3 linked regions of the Oryzias latipes genome follow. The protein of the gene in region 2 purifies or fractionates together with the protein of the main gene of each other region. This does not show direct contact. Links are inferred from orthologs where the notes say so. Each region holds a gene or a part of one and is shown on either strand. Other genes may lie near its edges. The genes, in order: kdr, ptpn6 and rpl35a.

Evidence for each region.
Region 1: the proteins of ptpn6 (region 2) and kdr purify together in Homo sapiens (affinity purification with western blotting; 3 studies listed by BioGRID and IntAct, with this or other methods). This does not show direct contact. The link is inferred for Oryzias latipes from reciprocal best matches to the Homo sapiens genes PTPN6 and KDR.
Region 3: the proteins of ptpn6 (region 2) and rpl35a purify together in Homo sapiens (affinity purification with mass spectrometry; 3 studies listed by BioGRID and IntAct, with this or other methods). This does not show direct contact. The link is inferred for Oryzias latipes from reciprocal best matches to the Homo sapiens genes PTPN6 and RPL35A.

What each region holds. Positions count from the first base shown.
Region 1 is NC_019862.2:260,512-264,157, reverse strand, and holds part of kdr (vascular endothelial growth factor receptor 2), read right to left. Parts: intron 3,500-3,646; coding exon 3,360-3,499; intron 1,641-3,359; coding exon 1,469-1,640; intron 206-1,468; coding exon 91-205; intron 1-90. UniProt on the Homo sapiens protein: Tyrosine-protein kinase that acts as a cell-surface receptor for VEGFA, VEGFC and VEGFD. Plays an essential role in the regulation of angiogenesis, vascular development, vascular permeability, and embryonic hematopoiesis.
Region 2 is NC_019874.2:20,377,523-20,381,771, forward strand, and holds the start of ptpn6 (tyrosine-protein phosphatase non-receptor type 6), read right to left. Parts: upstream 2,937-4,249; 5' UTR 2,419-2,936; intron 2,107-2,418; 5' UTR 2,043-2,106; coding exon 2,035-2,042; intron 1,086-2,034; coding exon 963-1,085; intron 1-962. UniProt on the Homo sapiens protein: Tyrosine phosphatase enzyme that plays important roles in controlling immune signaling pathways and fundamental physiological processes such as hematopoiesis.
Region 3 is NC_019871.2:2,380-6,607, reverse strand, and holds the start of rpl35a (60S ribosomal protein L35a), read left to right. Parts: upstream 1-1,374; 5' UTR 1,375-1,467; intron 1,468-2,062; 5' UTR 2,063-2,087; coding exon 2,088-2,098; intron 2,099-2,302; coding exon 2,303-2,455; intron 2,456-2,521; coding exon 2,522-2,666; intron 2,667-4,228.

The sequences.
Region 1 (3,646 bases), on a different chromosome or scaffold from region 2:
AATGTGCAATGTGCAGCTTTTTCATGTGTAATAAAAGAACTGTTTATGACACACAACTGATGACAAACTGCCACTGCTACATGAACATACCATTTAAAGCTGGGTTCAGGGTACGCAGAGTACCTGACAGGGTAACTTGCTTGAGCTCCCACCGTTACTTCCCAGACCTTTGGCCAGGGTTCCTTCATTTCAATGAAAGGCTTTTCTGCAGGAAAATAACAACATAATTATTCATATTTATTTGAATTGTTTGAAAATGTTGATCTTATGGAAGTTCATGGAAGGAAAAACTGTGCAAATAAGACTTCAGCAACTGATAAATTCATCCAGCCAAGATGAGATGCTTTGTTATTGACACTAAACTATGTCCAAGCTTTTGTGTGTAGTAAGGAAAACCGTCAGGTGCCCCAGCATGAGCTGTATTATAGACCAGGTCACCCCTGCTCTATGGAAGCATTTCTGTCTCATCATTCAAAATAGAAGTTAATACCTGAATGTTTTTTCATTTGCACAATAAAGCTACGTAATTGACTCAAAAATTAGATGAAAAATAAATCTGCTAAACAGTTTTTTTCTTCTTCTTCACCGCTCAGTCTGTCACTTTATTAAAATGACAAAGAAAATGTTTTTTGACATTTCATTTTCAAAAAGTTCTCTAGTAAATGTGTACCAAAATTCAATTAGAAATACTGTATCTAAGTAGATGATTAAAATGGATTAAAAAAATGCTTTTTCCTTTTCACAATGTAACTGCATCAATTGATTCAAAAGTAAAATAAAAAATCAATCCTCCAAAATGCTTTTCCACTTTAACACCCCCATTCTGTGACATAATTAAAGCATTAATGCAAAGAGGGGATTGCATTTTCATTTTCACATCCACCATGCAAAAACTGTTGCATAAATCCTTTCCAATCAGCTGTTCCATGAGGGAGGCAGGGCAATGATGTCAGTGTTCACTCGGTGTGCTGCTCCAGGGAAGGCTTTGTAGCGCAAACAGGACGGCCGGCCGGCCGGCCGGCTGCTCCAGGCGAGCGAAGTATGACTCTGATCAGTGCAGCCGGACTCATAGCTTCGTGTTTGTGGGCAGGGAAGGGGGTTTTGTTACGGTGTGCACTCCGGGGGAGTGCAATCCCCTCTTTGCATTATCGCTTTAATCACGTCAAAGACTGGGAGCTGTTCAAGTAGAGAAACATTTTGGAGGATTGATTTTTCATTTTATTTTTGAGTCGATTGATCCAGTTACATTGTGAAAAAGAAAAAGCATTTCTGTTAATCCAATTTTAATTATCAACTTAGATATTTCTAGTTGAATTTTGGTACACATTTACTAGAGAACTTTTTGAAAATGAAATGTCAAAACCATTTTCTTGATCATTTCATTTATTTCTGAGTCAATTGATGCAGTTACATTGTGTGAATGGAAAAGCATTTTTGTTAATCCATTTTAATTGTCCAGTGCACCTACCGTAGACTTTGACGTATGCAGAGGCACTTTCATCCATCTGCCCGCTGGATGCCGTGCAGATGAATTCTCCAGAGTGTTCCGTTGTCACGTTCTCCACAATAAGAGTATTGGAAAGCTCCAGAGAGTTCCACAGCTTCTTCTTGTGGGGAATCGTGTGGAGTTTCCCGGAGTTCTGAGTTAGCAGGACACAAGAAATAACTTTGTTTAAATGTGAATTTCTTGAACTAATGTACAGTGTTCCCTCACTATATGTGGTTTACTTTTTGTGGTCTCACTATTTTTGAGATGTTTTTTCAGTGCAACTTTGCATGCTTTGTTTATTTAACAGTGCACTGTGTTCTGCATCCTGTTGACCTTGTCGATCAATCTCCTCCGTGCCATAAGGACAGCTGAAATAGTTCAGCTTTCCGTATTTACATAAATATTCATTGTGATCAGTAATTTGTTTTCATTCTATAAAACTGGACATTTTTTCCATGAAGGTTTGAACATTGAGAATTTAAACAAAAGAGAAAACTGTAAAAGTGTTCATTTCTGTCTAAGAAACATGGATAAAGTATGTAGTGAAGATTTTTACATCCTTAAAACATCTGTAGTTCACCTATCGCTGGTTATTTTTAGAACCTAACCCTGTGATAAACAAGGTAACACTGTATATTTTTTGATGTGGAACATCTCTCCATGTTTGCATTTAAAACATCTCAGCTGCCTCTTGACCTTTGACCATGTTGCGCTGTCTGTGTAGATCAGTGTTTTTCAACCTTTTTTGAGCCACGGCACACTTTAACCTTGACAAAAATCCCGCAGCACACCACGATCCAAAAAAAAAAAAAAAAGCAGGAATTCATGGTCTGTATTGATCGACAGCCGCCCCCCCCCCCCCCCCCCGCAATCTCACGTGGATTTTTGTGATAAATGTGGCAGAAAAAGCAGGAAGTTGTGGCTGTTTTTTTTCTAAGAGATGAAATAAAGGTTAAATTAGAAAAATTTAGAAACTGTTTGTTTGTTTGCTGTGGTTTCAAGACGTTTCACAAGGACAACTCATTGTGCGCTGGGACACTGTCCCTTTAAGCCAATGCATCATGGGAGAAGTAGTGTGAAAACTGCTGAAAAAGGGCAGAAAGACTCACGTCTCTGAGCTTCATTGTTTTGTTCACTTGTTCCACGGTCTAACAACGGACTCTGTGGAAAGCTACACACTACATGAGCTGCATGCGGGGGAAAACAACTTGGAGCTGCAGAGGATGTGAACAGGTAGAGAGGCGGAGGCGGGGCTCAGACTCACTGCTGATGATTCCAGATCCGCAACAGCTGCTTCCTAATAAAAAATAGTTGTCATCCATAAAATTAATATAATTTATTGGGTTTACTGGATTTAAAGAAATAAATAAATAGAATGGAGTCTGCATCAAAGTGAATTTGTTTCCATCATCTCACTCATCTTAACTCTGGGTGTTTGACAGACAGAAAAGTCTATTCAAGATTGTGGAAAATGGACAACAGTTCAAAGAAACATAACGCTCATAAATAATTAAATGAATAATTGAATGAATATCCTGATAGTATTTTAATCAATACAAGCATTGCCAAATGAACTATCACGATATATCGCCGATTTTTTTCTAACACCCCTAGTGTTGCGGCTCCCTGTGCCTTCATTTCTGTGGGAAACTGATGGAAGTGGCTCTTTGAGAGGTTCAGGTTGGACCCTTGACCTAGAGGCACACAATAAACTGACAGATGCTTGGAAGCAAAATGTCACAAATATTTTAAAAAAGACAAGGAAGTGAGAACCCGGAGTTCTGGTATGAACGTCACTGAAGCGTTTTCACCAAAAATGTGTCTGGTGTGGGGGGTGGAGGATTAGGGGAGGGTGAGGCGTGAGACTCACCAGGGCCCCTCCCGAGTGGGTCCAGTTGAATTCAATGCCTACGTTGAGCTCGGTGTTGGCAGTGCAGATGAGCTCCAGCTGCTCCCCTACAGCCAGCCTCTGCTGCACAGGGGTCAGGGTGAGGTCATGAATCTTGTATCCTGCGGAAAAGGGAGGGAAGGCAGTCGGCAGACAGCCTATTGTTCTCCTGAGACTTCAGATGCAATCCACTTTTACACACAGCACTTTCAGAAAAAAAACATTTTTCTGGGTTTGTTCACTCAATAGAAAATTCAGCTCAGCTCTGA
Region 2 (4,249 bases):
AGAGGAAAAAACAAAAACACCAAGGCCACACCAAGAAAACTGTTAACGGTTTCTTTGTGATGGCAGCAGGTACAAAAGCACCAGGTGAGGACTTTTATACTCAGTAAACCGACATAAACGTGATGGTCCTTTTCAGCCTGGCTACAGCTGCGAGCTTATCAAATATCGAAGTCAATCGATCCTATTAAAAGATTTTTGGCAGCATGTGTAACAACAAATTTATTTTCCATATTTTTAAGCTCAACTTGGGCGGCCAAAGGAGGAGAAATATTAGAAAAATGCGGCTTTAGCATCGGAATAAATAAAAAATCAGATTTAATAGACAATTTTACAAACAAAAATAACATTTTTGGTTCATCAAACTGTCGATCAAGCTTTCAGACTCTTTTTTTTTTTTTTTTTTTTTTTTTTTACATAAAAACATGTTTTTTCTGTTAGAATTATTGTTTTTTAATCCAAATGAAAGGATAAGAATTAACCAAAATGCATTTTTTTCTAAGAAAGTGGCCTTGGGAGTAAGTAGATCATTTAGAGCTGTGCACTTTTTCACACAAAATTGGAAAGTGCTAACTGTTTTCACAAAGTGGAGCTTGGAAAGGGATCTTTTGCTGTAAGAAGTTACAGATAAGACATCTAAAATGAGCAAATCTGACTAATTTTCTGCTGTTGTTCAAAGAAGATGCAACCACGTCTTTTGGAGTTCTGTAACAACCTTTTTTTTCAATCCGCAAAGTTTTATAAATTATAAGAATCGCTTCCATTGCTGCTACTTTTACTCACTTTAAGAAAAGGCCTCCAACAAAACTGGCATGTGTGCGTAGATCATTCGCATCAAAATATAGGCCCTGGCGGGAGCCTGCAGCTCTCAGCTTATTTTCTTATCATCAAATAAAGGCTGCAAAACTTGAAAGAAGTTTTGCAGATGCAGCTCATGTGCTGCATCTGTTCACACCAGACATTACCTGACAGACAGGGAGAAATCTCCAACGTTTTTCTTGCTGGGTCGAGCTAAAAAGCTTCCGTCAATGCCTCGCAGCTTCAGTATTTCCTCAGCCTGCAGGCCTGTGATGTCTCTGTGGAACCACCTGGATCGACGCACAAAGATAGAAAAGATGAAGCACAACAACATTGACCTAGTAGAAGGCATACATGTGTCACATAGATTTAAAATGTACAGCTTTAAATAGACCAAGAAAATCCAGGTGCACGCATACGCAAAAGAGAGATGGGAGTTTCTCGACAAGATCAGGGGTGCAAGAAAGTGTAAAGATGGAGAGAAAAGCTGTACTTTTTAATAAAAGAAGGGAAGAAATTCAGGTGATGATCTTTTAAACATTATTAGGTTTCATTACAATCTTGAGTAGATTCTTTGTAAAAATCCTCAAAATCAACATATTCATTTTTATATTTTTTGTTTTAGAGTCTCAAACATAAATAATACTAAGGCAGAGGGTGACTTTAACGTGATAAATTAAAGGTTTTATTAAAGCCTTTGGTTTCACTGGCCTAAGAAAGATAAAAGACAATTTCATGTGATGAACCACAGTCCAAATCCTTGATCCAATAAGGGTTTAACATAAACCTTCAGAAACTATTTTCACTTTACCTACATGCAATTTGTTGATCATCAGGAAAACAAAGCGTGCATTAGGGCATAGTCAGTAATGCTGACGTACTTTAATAAATTATGTTGCTTTACAGCCTTATTAGCTAGACGAATAACCAGGTTTTTAAAATCTGACATATTGCACAAAAAAGGTTAATAACTGTTTTCGAACACATGATCTGTCTGACACTGTGGAGCTTTGAGGAAACAACAGAACTGAAACCTAAACACTTTATTTATGTCCCAGTCTCTTATACTGAACTTGCAGGGTTTAGCTGACGAGGGATCACAAATGACATGACAGAAGAGGAGCAGGACAGGCCAGCAGCAGGGAATAGACAAAAGGAGGAATGGAAACAGAGAAGTTGTTGCACAAAACACAAAGAACAAAACCAGAGTTTGATGTGTCCGGCAGAGGCTTGACTCACCGAACCATGGCGTCTCCTCACTTTTTCTGGGACTAAAGAGAAGAAGAGCGATTTGGGAAGAGTCGCTTGTTCCTGCGGCACATGTGTAGACTCAGATCACACACTTTGGCGTTGAAAGTTTGTGTAGTTTTTGCAGCTTCCTTACTTTTGGTCTACTTGAATTGTACATTTACCGCAAACACATTTGGTATGTCAAGCGCTAACTTGACCTTCAACTTAAGATATTTTTATCAAGAATCAATTAAATCTAATTGCCTTTGCTCTCCCTCTGGTGTAACACATTAACTTAATACCCACCCCTGCCCCGCCACCACCCACCAGCGGACCGCCGCTGACCCCGGTTCTCAGTCTTCCCTTCAACAGCAAAAGCAGGTAAACACTTACTCTCCTCAGCTGCTCCTGAAAACAACTGACACTGGTCGAGACGTTGACGCTGTATGTGTCTGTCTCCCCTCCTCTGCGTCGTGCTCATACGCTCTCCCCTTCCTTCCTTTCTACGTCTCCTTTCACAAAGTAGTGAAAGCAAGACAGGAACCAAAATAGCTGACAGGCCGGAATTCCTCAAGCAGATAAAGATGGTGTCTTTTTTTTTTCTTTTTCTTTTATTGATGACCAAAATAAAAACGTTGCCAATCTAAGAGCAGAGAAGGCTTCAACTCCATCACCTCCGTCTTCTGGAAAAACAGCTGCAGAGCTTCTTTAGATGACTCCTCTGTTCAGAGCTGTGAGACAACGGCAATTCCAACAGGCGTATGGTTGAAAAACACCCTCCAAAAAGGCAGTTCCATCTCCTCATCAATGCACAAATATGCCCGCTCTTTGTCTAACAGAAAGTATTTGCAAAGTTTCCTCCACCTGTCGGCTGAATCTGCCCTCTGTTCTTTACTTCCAGGTGTGTACGAGTGTGCGAAACACAAAGGTCAGAACAGAACACTTCCTCATTTGAACCTTCCCCCCTCTGCATGTGTGAGGCTGCATGTGTGCGTGTGCTGCTGCAAGCTGATATATCATGTGCTGTTGTCAACTGTTTTAATTTAAAGAACGCCGATCCAGCACCTTGAAAATTGCTGCTTTATCCTTATACGGAGTAAATTATCTGCAGCCACAAACACAAAGTACATATTGTGACTTTTAGGGGAGTTTTTTGTATCCCTAAAAACAACACAAAAATTTGCGTAGAAGCAAATGCACAACAAATGAAAATGCAAATACAGTAGCAATTATTTCATGAATTCCTCACAACCAGATAGCATGTAAGTGGAAAATAATGGTTTCCTACATGAGGTGTAAAATCGTTCAGTGACTAGCGGACTTTGGTGGTTTTATGTGTTTGCAGCAAAAAATTAAAGGAAAAAGTGAATAAGTGTGTAGTTTCTAGTACATGGTGCAGCTCTCCCCGCCCCTGCACCAACAAACACACACATGCAGCCCTGCAGGTGTCGTCGGGGTTAACGCCCGCTATTGTTGTTTGCATTATTTGCCTCACTTGCGCTTTGCAGTCAGACTTGGTTTGGGGTCTCTTTGTTTCTCAGATGTTAAGGCTTCAAATCTCAGACAAAGGCAGACGTTTTTCACACACGTATAGAATGGCTGTACACCTACAGTGATGGAAAAAAGGTTCCTGATTTGATCTTTTCACTTGGGCTATCAGGTTTGCTTGCACTGCGCTGCAAACTGATACTTTGAGCATTTTCTGCCTCATAAAAAAGGTGAACAGAGAAACATCTATAGTTTGTTGATCTTATTAAATGAACCAATCAGTAGGAATAGAATTGATTGAGTGCATGTTTTTTCTTCAGGGAAAAACAACTCCTTTATTTTGATTTTAGATATTTAGTTACTTTAAGCCCTGCAACAAATTGGCTGCTTCTCCAGGGTTTATCCAACAGTAACAGGGATAGGCTCCAACAACCCTATGACCCTGAAAGGGATTCAGCAGGTTCAGAGAACTGATGGATGGATTGTAGCTTTGAAGTCGGTTTAATGGTTGTTGTTACTTTAAATGTTATTGTTGCTTTTGATGTTTAAAAGTCTGAATATCATATTTAAAATGCTGCTATAAACAGCTGCTTGATGGAGAACTGAATTTGAATTGTGCCAGTTCCTGGCAAGCTAAGTAGCAGCTGTGCTAAAAACAAACAGCTATCTTTGGAAACATGGGCCCTATAATACAAAGCAGTCTGGAAAGTTGACGACTGAAGATAGACACCAAACT
Region 3 (4,228 bases), on a different chromosome or scaffold from region 2:
AGCGTCCCGTGAAGAACGCCTGCCTTTCAGCTGTGATGACGAGCTAGCATTAGCCGGGCTAGCTCGTCATCACAGCTGACCTTTAGCTGGCTTAAGCCACCCCCACCTGTCTGGGCTCAGGTTCGTGTCTCCATCAGATCCAGGACCGTGACCCGGGGGGGGGGGGGGGGGGGGGCGGTGACCCATCACCACTGATGTAAACACTAAAGCTGAGTCCTCACAGGACGACTGCTGCTGCATGATGGGATGACACGTGTAAATATTTACATATCTGTGTATGTTGTACATATGAGACTGATGCTTTCCTGTTGCTATGGAGACCAGGCTTCCTTGTCGCCATAGTGACTGGTCCAGAGAGACTTTCTCCTGTTTACTTTCTTCTGCAACTTCAAATGAAATAAAGACGACTGTTGAAACTCTTCTGTTTCCACGGTAACGGGCCTCAGCAGCAGATCAGGGACCTTCAGGGGGATGTGGGGGCCAAGGTCATACCATGACACGCCCACATCCTCAGAAGCGTGTTCTCAGTCTTCTGACAGCAGACGGCGAAGGGTCGGGACAATTCTGCCGTGCACGTGCTGCACCTGCTGAGCTCGCCGTGGACTGGAGATGTGCAGCTCACTTCCTGCTTGGGAACTTCCTGTTGAAGCCCAGGTTCCTCCGAAAGGTTCAGCTCTCTGCCAGGACGTCCCATCAGGACCTGGCTTCCCCTGCAGACACCAAAGCCTGGGTCCTGGAACTCATGGAGAAAAGCTGAAGGTTCTAACCGTGGAAACGGCAGCGCTGATGCAAACACCAGAACTTTCAAGATCAGAAGAGCCTCCAGAGGAGCAGGGTTTGGATAAGAGGTTTGACATGGAGGCGTCTTCAGACGTCTGAGCTGGACATGAATGTCAGAGCTGCAGAACGGGCTTCAGGAGGTTCTGCTCGCCCCACACGGTTCTGGCTGGACAGACGTTCCAGTGATCCTCAGCCTCCCTGCGGTTCTCTGCTTTCAGATGTGTGACCTCGTGTCTGTCCATCTGCCCTGCTGCCCTCATCGCTGCATCTACATGCCCCGCCCCTTTTCATCCACATCTCTGCAGGTTTTCTCTCCTGTCGCCTTTTATTGTTCAGGTCAGGAAAATAACTTTCAGGTAATTAGAAATTAAACTAAATAAATTTCCAATGGCGACGTGTGTCAAATCTAATTTGAATGAACTGAACGTATCTTCAATCAATTCAACTGAACTTTGACGTGTCTTTGTTTATATTTATTTTCCAGAAAATATATAACCATAAAACCATCTTATTTAGAAACCCTGTTTGAAGATGAATTTAGCGACTTTAGTTATGATAACATTTAAAACAGTTTGACGATGTCAGAAGGTTTTTGATCAGGCAGCTCCGCGGACACCTATCTTCACACCAATTACCCAGCATTCCCTTCGGCTGGCCTTTCCTTCCATCTACGCGGAACAAGAACAGGTACGAAGTGAATTCTTCCAAACTTCTTCCCAAACCCGTTCATGTTTACCCCATAACTACCGGTTCGGTCCGGACGGGTTCTCCTCCGCTGTCTGGTGTATTTTTGAGCGCGCGGGGGGTTCGGATGACGTAGATTCGGCGTGGATTATCATGCTGTTTGCTGCTAACAGCGCGGCTGTGAAATGAGCCGACCCGGATCATCAGCAGCGACTTTTCCTCCGGATTCGGAACCGGCTCTGCTTAGCACGGAGCAGATCCGGCGTTAGTGCCTTTGTTTATCAGTGCCCTGGAGGAAGGAGGAGTACCGGGAGAAGCAGCTCCGTGTGCCGGTAGAAGGAGTTCAGTGTGCCGGGAGAGAGACCTCTTATCCCGGCTGGGAGAAGCTACGTCTGCCGGGAAAAGGAGCTCCTTCCACCGGCACACGGACGTCCTTCAGCCGGGAGAAGGGGCTCTGTGTGCCGGTGTCGGGTGTTCAGTGTGCCGGCACACCGGCCACCTCCTCCCGGTGGAAGGAGCTCCTTCTCGGCACACAGACCACCTCCTCCCAGCATTCCAGTCCTGCAGACGTTTGACCGGCTGTCCTGTTTGTCTGCAGGTGAATCCACCTGAGGAGAACCACGATGCCTGGAAGGTGAGTTTTATCTGCTCATAGTTCTGCTGCTGAATTCTGATGTTCTGGTTCTGCCCTGAATTTGGACCTGATAAGGGAGTTCCTGCTAAAGCATATCCGTGCTGGATCTGGTGTGAACATCCAGAACCGATAGTGATGATCTGGGTGTCGGTAGACTGCGGTCTGTAACCACCGGTTCCGGTCTGGCTGCTGTTTGTGTGACAGACTGTGGAGTAAGGCCATCTTCACCGGCTACAAGCGCGGCCTGAGGAACCAGCGCGAGCACACGGCGCTGCTGAAGCTGGAGGGCTGCTACAGCCGGGACCAGGTGGACTTCTACCTGGGCAAACGCTGCGCCTACGTCTACAAGGCCAAGAAGTCAGGCTGGTTTTATTGTGTTATTGTGAGTGCTTGTGTTTGTCGCTAAAAGTGTGAATTTTGCAGGAACACAGTCACACCCGGTGGAAAACCCAACAAGACCCGGGTCATTTGGGGCAAAGTGACGCGGGCTCATGGAAACAGTGGGATGGTCCGGGCCAAGTTCAGCAGTAACCTGCCAGCCAAAGCCATCGGACACCGGATCAGAGTGGTGGGTTTGGAGGTTTAGACCGTCTGGAACTGTGGTTCTGCTGGATCCAGAGGTGGTAGCGCCCGTTTCAGTTCTGTCCTGGAGAACATCATCGTTCTGTACATGTTGCTGAAAAGTTAAAACAAACGGCATCAAAACGATCGTGCCAGTCTTGAAGGTGGCCGCCGTGCTGCCTGATCAAAACCATCGTGTTACATCCTGTTTGCCCCCGTAGTCTCCACCCTCTGGTTGATGCCCCCGTACCCTCCTTCCTCTGGTTAATGCCCCCGTAGTCTCCTTCCTCTGGTTGATGCCCCCGTAGCCTCCTTCCTCTGGTTAATGCCCCCGTAGTCTCCTTCCTCTGGTTGATGCCCCCGTAGTCTCCTTCCTCTGGTTGATGCCCCCGTAGCCTCCTTCCTCTGGTTGATGCCCCCGTAGCCTCCTTCCTCTGGTTAATGCCCCCGTAGTCTCCTTCCTCTGGTTGATGCCCCCGTAGCCTCCTTCCTCTGGTTAATGCCCCCGTAGCCTCCTTCCTCTGGTTAATGCCCCCGTAGTCTCCTTCCTCTGGTTAATGCCCCCGTAGCCTCCTTCCTCTGGTTAATGCCCCCGTAGTCTCCTTCCTCTGGTTAATGCCCCCGTAGTCTCCTTCCTCTGGTTAATGCCCCCGTAGCCTCCTTCCTCTGGTTGATGCCCCCGTAGCCTCCTTCCTCTGGTTAATGCCCCCGTAGTCTCCTTCCTCTGGTTGATGCCCCCGTAGCCTCCTTCCTCTGGTTGATGCCCCCGTAGCCTCCTTCCTCTGGTTAATGCCCCCGTAGTCTCCTTCCTCTGGTTGATGCCCCCGTAGCCTCCTTCCTCTGGTTAATGCCCCCGTAGCCTCCTTCCTCTGGTTAATGCCCCCGTAGTCTCCTTCCTCTGGTTAATGCCCCCGTAGCCTCCTTCCTCTGGTTAATGCCCCCGTAGTCTCCTTCCTCTGGTTAATGCCCCCGTAGTCTCCTTCCTCTGGTTAATGCCCCCGTAGCCTCCTTCCTCTGGTTGATGCCCCCGTAGTCTCCTTCCTCTGGTTAATGCCCCCGTAGCCTCCTTCCTCTGGTTAATGCCCCCGTAGCCTCCTTCCTCTGGTTAATGCCCCCGTAGCCTCCTTCCTCTGGTTAATGCCCCCGTAGTCTCCACCCTCTGGTTAATGCCCCCGTAGTCTCCACCCTCTGGTTAATGCCCCCGTAGTCTCCACCCTCTGGTTAATGCCCCCGTAGTCTCCACCCTCTGGGTAATGTCCCCGTAGCCTATTTTCTCAGTCCTCTGCCCCTGTACCCTGCTTTCTGAGGGCGCCGCCCCCATAACCTCCTTTCTTAGAGTAATGCTCCTTCTTCTCTTGTCCCCTCGGGGGTAACGCCCCTTATCCCTCGGGGGTAACGCCCCTTGTCTCTCGGAGGTAACGCCCCCCGCTCTTAAGGCCCGTACACACCGGGACGAATATTCGCCAGGCGTTATTCGCCAGCGTTTTTCGCCACGTTTTTTGTGTTCACACCCAGGCGATTTTCGCTGACGATGAGTGAAGTGAACATGCAATTTCCTTCCCTGACATT